Linked DNA regions of Anolis sagrei. The protein of the gene in region 3 binds, or shares a complex with, the protein of the main gene of each other region. Links are inferred from orthologs where the notes say so. Each region holds a gene or a part of one and is shown on either strand. Other genes may lie near its edges.

Region 1 (3,752 bases), on a different chromosome or scaffold from region 3:
CTTTCTTGTAGTTTGAAGCCATTGTTCCTGCCTCCACAGACAAGAGCTCTTTCTCCCACAGCTATATAAACCCCACTTGCCTAGTTTCCAACAGACCTCACAACCTCTCAGGATGTCTGCTATAGATGCAGGTGAAATGTCAGCAGAGAATGCTTCTGGAACATGGCCATACAGCCCGGAAAACTCACAGCAACCCAATGATTCTGGCCATGAAAGTCTTCGACAACACATTTCTAGAATAGCTTTCAATGCTGCTTCTCCATCTGGGTGTATGCTTAGCAAACAAGCTCTTGGTGCCAGGACTTCATCAAGGGATACTTGAAAGTTGAAAGGGCAGCTGATTGGCACAAATGGGTTGCTTTTGGCAGTCCGCCCTCCTTCCTGCCCCAAAGGGACAGATGAAAAAAGAGGGGCCATAATGTAGTTTGGCCCCACTTTCATTGCCTGGCTCAATAATCGTGGGAACAGCGACGTTTTAGACTACTCTGCCCAAGAGTGCTTTGTCCCTCACCAAACTACAACTCCCAGGATTCCATAGCTCTGAGCCGTGGCAACTAAAGTGGTGCCAAACCGTATTAATTCTGCAGCGAAGACCTTCCGCTCTATTCTGCGCGCACAAGGCAGGGACAGCCTCGAGCACTGCTCGCTTCCTTCCCGCGCATGCGCGTACGCACGACATTCCCCCTCCGCCTCTCGCTTAGCTTGTCTCCACAATTCTTGAAAACAAGAGCGCGCGACTGTAAGCTTTTGATGGACAGCTCTCTCTATCCAACCCGGCGCCGCGTTCGGCTTTAGAGGGGGCGGGGGAGCTTGCCGCGCAATTGGACCAATGGGAGCGCGCCTGCCTTTTCCGAAGAGGGAGGGGCGGGAGCTAAGGCAGTGGGCGGAGCCAGGAGGCGGGCCGGGAGTTTAGGAAGAGGAGGGCTCGCCTGTCATCAATGAAGTCATATTCATAATCGAGTTCCCCTCGCCGGAGCTGTACTCCGGGTGACTCAGAGAGGGAGGCATCCAGCACCGCACCGCACCGCTCTCCCCCGGAAAGGTACCGCTTGTTTACAACTTTCTCCTGCCACCCTGGATGTATTTATTTATTTCCTCTGTTGGGATGGAGGAGGGGAGCAGAGAGTTGGCTTTGGATTGTGCAACCCCTCCACCCCCCCCCCTTCTTTCCTCCCTCGGAGACTCTCTCTCGCTGTGGCTTCTCCTCCAGAAAAGAGGGCCTCATCTACACGGCCCTATAATGCGGCTTGAGACTCGGTTCAAACTGCAGGACGTGAGTCTGCACGCCGGCCCTGCAAGGCAGTCGCAAAACTGCATTACAGGGCAGTGTAGATGGGGCCAAAGTTTGATCCGGGTTGCCTGGAGGCTGCCAAAGAGGATCCACGCCGGATCGTGACCTTCCCTCCGAAGCAGGGGGCTGGCGGGGTGAGTCAGCTCGACCTGGCAAAGGGCTCTCGGCTGCTGCAAGAGGCAGGCAGGCAGGCAGCGGCCCCATCCTCTTCCTCCTCCTCCTCCTCCTCCTCCTCCTTTAGGGCTTTGGCTCCCAAAAGCAGCCAGAAATAGCTCTAGGAACAAGCTGCTAGGAAGAGGAGGAGGAGGAGGAGGAGGAAGGCTTCTTGCAACGCTGGCTGGCTGCCTTTCCTCTCTGGATTGGAGCGATGGGAGAGCGACAGTCTGTTTCCTTTCCCCTTTGGCGACCCTTTATTTTGGGGAAGGGGGTAATTGCAGGAAGGCTGAGACGAAGGTGGAAAGGTTTGCTCTTGTGGATGCCTCTTGGGAGCAAAAAAGAGTGCTGGAAGTTGGCTCTTGCCCCGAGCAAAGCGCCGGAGCCCATCTATTATTAAATTATTATATTATTGTTGCTGCTGCTGTTGTTATTTTGCCTGGGCTTTTGAGAGTTTGGAGAGCTAGCCCAAGGGGCAACAGCAGGGTTCTCCCGTTCCAGCAACAAGGAGGCCATGATCCGGATAATCTCCCAGTCTGTCACACATAAACACACACACACACTCACACTAGATCGCAGGACTTGCTTGCCCCCCTGGCCATATGTAGGCAGAGAGGCATCGCTCTAAAGATGTCGCTAGATCGGGCTGTGTGGCTTTGAAATCCCCTTTCCCTCCTGGCGAGGATAACTGGCCTCTTAGATAATGAGTAGGGAGAGATACATGGAGATAGATCTGTTGCTAGATTGTGTGTGTGTGTGTGTGTTTAGGTTGTGCGGGGTGTGGGAGGGGGGAGCCACATAGATCTGTTGATGTTGCTAGCTAAGAGGTACTTGGCTTGTTCAATAACTAGGGAGGGATAAACAGATCTGGATGCGTTGCTAAATCAGGCTGTGCTGATTTGAAATCCCTCCACAAACGTCCCCTTTCCTCGTGGAGAAGATAAATAAACAGTTGGCCTCTGAAATGAGTAAAGAGGGAGGCATAGAGCTAGGTCTGTTGTCGAAGGATTCATGGCCGCAATCACTGGGTTGCTGTGAGTTTTCCGGGCAGTATTGGCATGCTTTAGAAGCATTCTCTCCTGACGTATTGCCCACATCTATGGCAGGTATCCTCAGGGGTTGAAGGGTCTGTTGGAAACTAGGCAAGTGGGGTTTATATGTCTGTGGAAGGTCCAAAGTGGGAGAAAGAACACTTGTCTGCTTGAGTCCAGGCAGGGCCAGCTAATACCCTCCCAGGCAGGAAGCAGCCAGGCTTTGAAGCTGCAAGGCCATTCAATTCTCACCAAGCTGGTCAGCTGCAACATTCACTCTTGCTTCAAGCAGACAAGAGTTCTTTCTTGCACCTTGGACTTTCCACAGATATATAAACCTTACTTGCCTCGTTCCCAACAGACCTCACAACCTCTGAAGATGCCTGCCACAGATGCAGGCAAAACATCAGAAGAGAATGCTTCTGGAACATGGCAATGCAGCCCAGAAAACTCACAGCAACCCAGAGCTAGGTCTGTTGCCTGTGTTGGGTTGAAATCCACGCACAGGCAAATGTGTACTAGGCCTCTTCAGTGAGTAGGGAGAGATAAACAGATCTAAAGAGGTTGCTAGATCAGGCTATGTTCATTTGGAATCCCCAACAGATTCCCCCCTCCTTTTGCCAATGGAGAAAGTAAAGAAGTAGCTGACCTCTGACATAAGTAGGTAAACACAGTTTGGCAGATGGGGGGCATTGGTTTGAAGCATCCCTCCCCCCTCTCCCAGTGGCAAAGGCAAATGAGCTGTGTTGGCCTCTTTTAATAAGTAGGGAGGCATAAATTGAGCAAATGTGTTGCTAGATTGAGGGGGGGGGGCTTGGCCGTGGCTAAGGCGAAGAAGTAGTTAACTAGATCTCTAGAGAGAAAACCAGATATATTTCTAGTTCTGTGGAGGAGGAGTGCTGGGATGGCTTGAAATCCACCCTGATGAAGGCTAAGCTGCGCTTGGCCTATTCAATAACTAGGGAGAGATAAACAGATCTGGATGTGTTGCTAGATTAGGCTGTGCTGGTTTGAAATCCCGGAAGGTAAAGAAATACCCAGCCTATTCAGTCACTAGGGAGAGGAAAACTGATCGAGATTGGTAGGCGGGGAGCTGTGTGGCTTTGGAAATCCCCTCTCCTGTCAAGGTAAAGAAGTAGTTGGTCCTTGCAATAAACAGAGGGAGATCTAAACATGTTGACACATCAGACAGTGCTGGCCAAAAGTAAATAATAAGTCAGTAAAGAAATAGATTGCTAGACCTGGAAGGCTGCCTTGGTTTGAAATCCCCCTTCTCT
Region 2 (3,752 bases), about 39 Mb from region 3:
ATGGCCATATAGCCCAAAAAAACCTACAACAAACCAATATCAATATTGTTCTATGATAAATGGTAATAATATATGATATAACAGTACTAATATTAATAATATATGATAGAGTTGGAAGAGACAATAATAGTAATAGCTAATAGTCATAGGTAAAGTAGGTAAAGTCGTGTCCAACTCTGGGGGGTGGTGCTCATCTCCATGTCTAAGCTGAAGAGCTGGCATTGCCTGTAGACACCTCCAAGGTCATGTGGCCGGCATGGAGCACCGTTACCTTCCCACCAGAGCAGTTCCTATTGATCGACTCACACCTGCATATTTTCAAACTGCCAGGTTGGCAGAAGCTGGGGCTAACAGCGGGAGATCACCCCGCTCCCCAGATTTGAACCTGTGATTTTTTGGTCAACAAGTTCAGCAGCTCAGTGGATAATAATAATAATAATAATAATAGAACAGTGTTAATATACATGATAGAGTTAGAGAGACAATAATAATAATAGACCAATATTTATAATAATAATAATAATAATAATAATAATAATAATAGAACAATATTAATATAAATACTATGTCCTCTAAAGCACCTTATACTGATTTAGGATTGGGTTGTTGTAGGTTTTTTCGGGCTATATGGCCATGGTCTAGAGGCATTCTCTCCTGACATTTCTGATTTAGGATTGTTTGAATGTTCCCTCCAACGCCCCATCTCCCTATCTTGTTCATGCCCAGCATTATTTTAAATTTTAATTACATTTGGCCCAGCCATAGATTTTAAATGTGTGTTGTGCTATTGTCAATGTTTATGCTATTTGTGTTTGAGATTTATTTTAATTGCTTTGTATTGTTGTTGTTATTGCTTGTATTGATGTATTGTGGGCTCAGCCTTATGTAAGCCGCACTGAGTCCCTTGGGGAGAGGGTAGCGGGGTACAAATAAAGCTTTATTTATTTATTTATTACTGGTCTATTATTATTATTGTCTCTTCCATCTCTATCATGTATTGTTGATATTAATATTGTTCTATCGTGATTAATATTAATAATACCGGGATTGTGGCGCAGCTGGCTGAGTGTCAGCTGCATTAAGATCATTCTGGCCAAAAGGTCATGAGTTCGAAGCCAGCCCGGGTTGGAGTGGGCTTCCAAGCAATTGTGTGTAGCCTGTTGTCGACCTTTGCAGCCCAAAGGACAGTTGCATCTGTCAAGTAGGAAAATTAGGTACCACCTTAAAGTGTGGGGAGGCTAAATTAACTGATTTATGAGGCCATAAAGAAGACTCCAGCAAAGCATTCCAGCGGGGAAGCATGCGGGGAATGCGGAAGTGCTTCATCAGCATCGCAGATGGACGAGGAAAGCAGCCAGAAAAAGTTAAATAGCCTCTGTGTATGTCTGTATATGTTTGTATGTAAAAAATTGGCACTGAATGTTTGCCATATATGTGTACACTGTAATCCGCCCTGAGTACCCTGTGGAGTGAGGAGAAGGGCGGAACATAAAAGCTGTAAGTAAATAAATAAATAAATAAATAAAACATGATAGAACAATATTAATAATCTGAATGCAAGGGAATTCCAGACATGAAACGATCAGCACCAGTGAACACCTCCCAACAAAGGATTCCCCCAGGCAGGAATCAGCCAGGCCTTGAAGCTGCAAGGCTGTGCAATGCTAATCAAGGTGATTAATTACAACATTCACATTTGCCTCCCACAGAAAAAAGCAACCCAATATTATTAATACATGATAGAGTTGGAAGAGACTTAATAATAATAATAATAATAATAGAACAATATTAATATTGTTCCTATTATTATTATTATTATTAAGTCTCTTCCAACTCTATCATGTATTGTTAATATTAATCATGGTAGAAGAATATTAATAATACAGGATAGAGTGGTTAAAAGATACCACATAATAATAATAATAATAATAATAACAACAACAACAACAACAACAAGATGGGGAAGAAGAAGCGACCACAAGGCCCAATCCACCCTTCTCCTTCTCCTGAATGAAAGGAAGGCAGGCCAGGCCTCCTCCCTCCCTTTCCCTTCCTTCCTTCCCTTCTTCCCCTTCTCCCCGGCTTCACCTCGGATCCGATCATGTAGAACTCGCCATCTTCTTCCAGCTGGAACTTGACGGGCTTCTGCCCGAAGGTCTTGCTCAGCGCCATCATCATCCTACGCCTCACAAGAACAGGAGGAGCAGGAGACGGACTGCGCCTGCGCCGAGAAGGGGGCGTGCCTGCCCTGCGTCATCACGGGCGCGCCTCTTCCGGCACTTCCCATTGGCCACTTTATCCCCGCTTCCTTTTCGCGCCTTTAACGGGGCGTGGCTTGTTGCTAGGGGCGACAGTCTAGCGTCGAGCGCGGTGACGCAGCCCTGAAGGACCCCAGAGAAGGAGAGAAGGGCTGTCTTCCCCACTGCCTGACTAAAGCGAGGAACTCTTCGAAACCGTGGTGGGGGCGTGGCTTGTTGCTAGGGGCAACGGTCTAGCATCCCGTATGGGAAAACCTGAAGGACCCCTGAGGAGAGAAGGGCTGTCCTCCCCACTGCCTGACTAAAGTTCTCTCCCTCACTGCCTGACTAAAGCGAGGAACTCTTCGGAACCGTGCTGGGGGCGTGGCTTGTTGCTAGGGGCGACGGTCTAGCGTCGTGCGCGGTGACGCAGCCCTGAAGGACCCCTGAGGAGAGAAGGGCTGTCCTCCCCACTGCCTGACTAAAGTTGTCTCCCTCACTAGGTTCTTGTGGGTTTTTTCGGGCTATAGGGCCATGTTCTAGAGGCATTCTCTCCTGACGTTTCGCCTGCATCTATGGAAAGCATCCTCAGAGGTTGTGAGGTCTGTTGGAAGTAGGAAAAAATGGGTTTATATATCTGTGGAATGACCAAGGTGGGACAAAGGACTCTTGTCTGCTGGAGCTAGGTGAGAATTGGTTGTTTTCGGGCTCTATGGCCATGGTCTAGAGGCATTCTCTCCTGACGTTTCACCTGCATCTATGGCAAGCATCCTTAGAGGTTGTGAGGTCTGTTGGAACTAGGGAAATTGGGTTTATATATCTGTGGAATGATGTCCAGGGTGGGGCAAAGAGCTCTTGTGTGCTGGAGCTAGGTGTGAATGTTTCAAAAAGCCCACCATATGGTTCAGATATGTGGATGACACCTTCACCCTTTGGAGCCATGGAGAAGAAGAACTCAACAGGTTCCTGGACCATCTGAACAGCATCCACCCAAACATATGGTTCAGAGATGTGGATGACACCTTCACTATTTGGGGCCATGGAGGAGAAGAACTCAACAGGTTCCTGGAGCATCTGAACAGCATCCACCCAAACATCCAGTTTACCATAGAAAAAGAAAATGAAGGAAGACTGCCTTCTCTAGATGTCCTCGTCATCCGCAAACCAGATCAACAATTGGGTCACACCGTCTACAGAAAACCCACACACACAGATAGATATCTACATAAAAACTCCAACCATCACCCAAGTCAAAAAAGAAGCCCCATCAAAGCCTTGGCAGACCATGCAAAAGGAATCTGCGAAGCCCACCTCCTCCAAGATGAACTGAACCACCTCAACTGGGCTCTCCAGGCCAAGGGAGACTCCACCTCAGGCATCAGAAGAGCTGCAAGACCAAGAACAAGCCACGAGAGTAAAGAGGAAGATCCACCCAGAGGAAAAGTGTTCCTGCCAGACATCAAGGGAACCACTGACCGAAGAAGGAAGCTGATGAGGAAACACAACATACAAACC
Region 3 (3,752 bases):
ATGGCCGGAATCACTGGATAGTTGTAGGTTTTTTCGGGCTATATGGCCATATAGCCCAAAAAAACCTGCAACAACCAAGTTTAAGATCATCTGGAAAGGCCCTGCTCTTGATCCCATTGCCACTGCAAACGTGATTAGTGGAGATGACAGGGCCTTCTCAACAGTGGCTCCCTGTCTGTGGAATTCCCTCCCCAAAGACATCAGATTAGCCATCTCCCTCTTGTCCTTTAGAAGGAAACTCAAGACTTGGCTGTGGGACCTTGCATTTGGCCATTGAATAGTGGCATGTATGAAGAAGACATAAGCAAATTCGAAGTGACAATTAATTGAGCCAGACCAGAATTTTAATTGGTGTGTTAACTGTTTATGTGAGAAGGGTGGGGTGCAAGTATCTGAAATAAATAAATAAATAAATAAATAATATTCTGGGATACAGTGCTATGTGGAAGGGCCCTTAGTCCACACTGCCTTATATCCCAATTCAAAGCAAATGTGGGATTTCATCCAGCTGTGTGGAAGGGGCCTGTCTCAAGAAAGGCCGTCAAACCCCAGCTTGGAACATTGTTTTAAAAGGCAATTGGTTGCAGCAGCAACAACTCAAATACTTAAGCCACCATCCCAAAGTTGCTCAGGTTGTATGGATTCATCACGCTCCTCACGCAATGCCGATCGATGACGTCATCACGTCATCCAGCACGCTCTCTCCTCCTCCCTCCTCCACTTTTCCCTTAGCTTGGAATTCAAAGCAGCACTTTCACGTCGTTGCCACGGCAACCTTCGGAAGAGAGGACGTCTTGAAACTCAAGAGGAGGAAAGTATATGTGTACTGTTTAAAGTGGAATTCGAGAGGATTTTCTTGTTAGGTTTTTACCTTTTTTTCTTACCTAGCGAAAGGGAGGTCTGTGTGGAAAGTGCTGAAGCAGGAACGGAAATAGTGAAATAGAGGCCGCCTCGCCGCCGCCTTCCTTCTCCATCCCCGCCTTTCTTGGTTCGTGTCGAGACAAAAGAAGCGAGAGAGAGGCCTCGAGTCCGAGTGGGACGCGGGTGAGTCTGAAGGACGTGGCTGGGGCTTGGCTGAGGAGGCATATTGGGGTGCGGGACCCCAGAAATCCTCCTTCCTCGGCCACGCCAAAGCCAGAGGCCTTTCCAGGCCGGTGTGAAGGGAGGCCTGTTTCTGAGAGGAAGGTTTTTCTTCATCGTTGTCGATTATAATTAACGCTGAGGCCGACTTGAAATATACTGCAGTATTATCATAATGCAGTTAAAGTGCGTTGTATGAGTCTACACTGATCATACAATACACTGGTCGAAATACCTTCTGTTTTTTTTAATTTCTTGAATTATATTATTTATTTTCTCAATTCCTAATTATTATAATGATTTAATGATTTAATATTACTTCTTTTTTTGTATAAGTAAGTTTTATTTTGTTTCCAAAAGAACAAAAGAAAAACATTACAAAAGGGGAGGAATTTCTGAGTATTCCTTGCCTAACAAACGCCTATGAAATTCATAATGTTGTCATAAGTCGACAGGCAACTTGCATATATAAATGGACACACTCTTAAAACCAACACTTAGTAATACAAAAGAAAAGAATTATAAGTACTCACTTATTAGATTGTATTATTTCCCAGATATGAACAGGAAAGAACCACCACAGTAATACTACTAAAAGGTAAAGGTTGTCCCCTGGCATTAAGTCCAGTCATGTCTGACTCTGGGGGTTGGTGCTCATCTCCATTTCTAAGCCGAAGAGCCTGCGTTGTCCATAGACACCTCCAAGGTCATGTGGCCAGCATAACTGCATGGAGCACTGTCCCTTTCCTGCTGGAGCAGTACCTACTGATCAACTCACATTTGCATGTTTTTGAACTGCTAGGTTGGCAGAAGCTGGGGCTAACAACAGGAGCTCACACCACTCCCCAGATTCGAACCTGCTACCTATTGATCTGCTCACATTTGCATGTTTTCCAGCTGCTAGGTTGGCAGAAGCTAGGGCTGACAGAGGAAGCTCATGCCACTCCCCAGAATAGAACCTGCGACCTTTCGGTCAACAAACTCAGCAGCTCAGCACTTTAACCCACTGTGCCACCGGGGGCTCCAGTAATACTACTACTACTACTACTAATAATAATAATATAAACCCTTATTTATATTCCACCCTATCTCCCTGGGGGACTCAGGGCAGATACCAACATACAAAAAGGAAAACATTCAATGCCTCAATAATTTATTTATTGTATTTACAACATTTATATGCCGCCCTTCTCACCCCAAAGGGGACTCAGAATGGCTTACAAGAGATATATATATATACACACACAATATACTGTATTAATAGCATAGTACAATAACAGTATTAAATATTACTATATTGTATTATACCATTATATTGTAATATTATTAGTAATATTACATGTAACATAAATATATAATTATAATACCATATTATTAGTAGTATTATATTGCATTACATTAAAACAAATAAGTGCCAGCAAATAACCCAAATTAACACCACATATGAAGACATTAGAACCTAACATCAATAAATTAAACACAACATAATCAACAAAGTAGCCTAACCTTTCCAAGACATACGTGTGTGCTTTCCACTTACAGAACCATGAAGCCAGCAGGAAATTGTAAGTTACCTGGGAAGGTCAAGAGGTTGAACATTGTTTCCATCCTAAATATCTTTGTGTCATCTTAGATTGAACGCTAACATATAGGAAACACTGCAGGAACACCAAACACAAAGTAGCTGCATGCAATAACATCCTGCAGAAACTTAACTGGCAGCACATGGGGTGCAGACCCAAAATTAATAAGAACATCTGCCCTGGCCTTGTCTTACTCAGCTGCCAAGTATGCCTGCCCTGTTTTATTATTATTATTATTAAACTATTTGTACCCCGCTAGCATCTCCCGAAGGACTCGATGCGGCTTACACAACTCTGCCCACGTGAAGCAAGTGAACATAGTGATGAACAAAACATACAGAGTGATCACATAATGTCTTAAACCTACACCTGTTGATAAACTCTACAAGCTAGCTGGCATTCCCCCCCCCCCCCCATGTGTCACAGGAAGTTGCTACTAACTGAGAGAAATAAGGTTGAACACTGAAAGCCATCCACTGCATGGTTATCAGCCTCCTCCCAGTAGACTAATCAAGGAAAAGCGTCATGTGAACCACCACTCATCTTAACGTTTTCCCAGAAACAGCAAGAGTATCGTTCTAAGCAGCTAATCCAATTGGATGCCCCCCCCCCCCACGAGGATCTGTCTCTAGGGGCAAACTAAGAATGGGAAACTTGGAGGTCCCCGAACAAACTCAGAAGTGGAGTGGACAGATCACAAAACAACCTGACAAAATGGCACTACCTAAAAGAATCCTCCACCTTGTGTGGCTACGGAGCAGAACAGACAACTCCGCATCTGTATGCTTGCCTGCAATGTCCTGCCTCATGTACAGAAAAAGATTTGTTTGAGGCTATAGACCAGGGGTCCCCAAACTACGGCCCACGGGCCACTTCCGGCCCGCCAAGGGCCCCGATCCGGCCCGCAGAGGAGGAGCGCCCCCCCCCCCACACACACACACACACAGTGCCCCTCCGTTGGCAGGCTCACGCTATCTATCAGGCCTGATGGACAGTGTGAGCCAGCCAAGGGAGGCTGCTCCGCGTGGTCTACTCGCAAGTAAAGCACCTTGCGAGGCGCTTTACTCACAAGTAGGCCACATGAGCCAG

The links.
Region 1: SMARCE1 (region 3) and SMARCA2 share a complex: the UniProt entries of both Homo sapiens proteins name them as parts of the BAF complex. The link is inferred for Anolis sagrei from reciprocal best matches to the Homo sapiens genes SMARCE1 and SMARCA2.
Region 2: SMARCE1 (region 3) and SMARCB1 share a complex: the UniProt entries of both Homo sapiens proteins name them as parts of the BAF complex. The link is inferred for Anolis sagrei from reciprocal best matches to the Homo sapiens genes SMARCE1 and SMARCB1.

The regions. Positions count from the first base shown.
Region 1 is NC_090022.1:220,641,957-220,645,708, reverse strand, and holds the start of SMARCA2 (probable global transcription activator SNF2L2), read left to right. Parts: upstream 1-895; 5' UTR 896-1,042; intron 1,043-3,752. UniProt on the Homo sapiens protein: ATPase involved in transcriptional activation and repression of select genes by chromatin remodeling (alteration of DNA-nucleosome topology).
Region 2 is NC_090026.1:666,652-670,403, reverse strand, and holds the start of SMARCB1 (SWI/SNF-related matrix-associated actin-dependent regulator of chromatin subfamily B member 1), read right to left. Parts: upstream 2,221-3,752; 5' UTR 2,179-2,220; coding exon 2,089-2,178; intron 1-2,088.
Region 3 is NC_090026.1:39,307,337-39,311,088, forward strand, and holds the start of SMARCE1 (SWI/SNF-related matrix-associated actin-dependent regulator of chromatin subfamily E member 1), read left to right. Parts: upstream 1-919; 5' UTR 920-1,044; intron 1,045-3,752. UniProt on the Homo sapiens protein: Involved in transcriptional activation and repression of select genes by chromatin remodeling (alteration of DNA-nucleosome topology).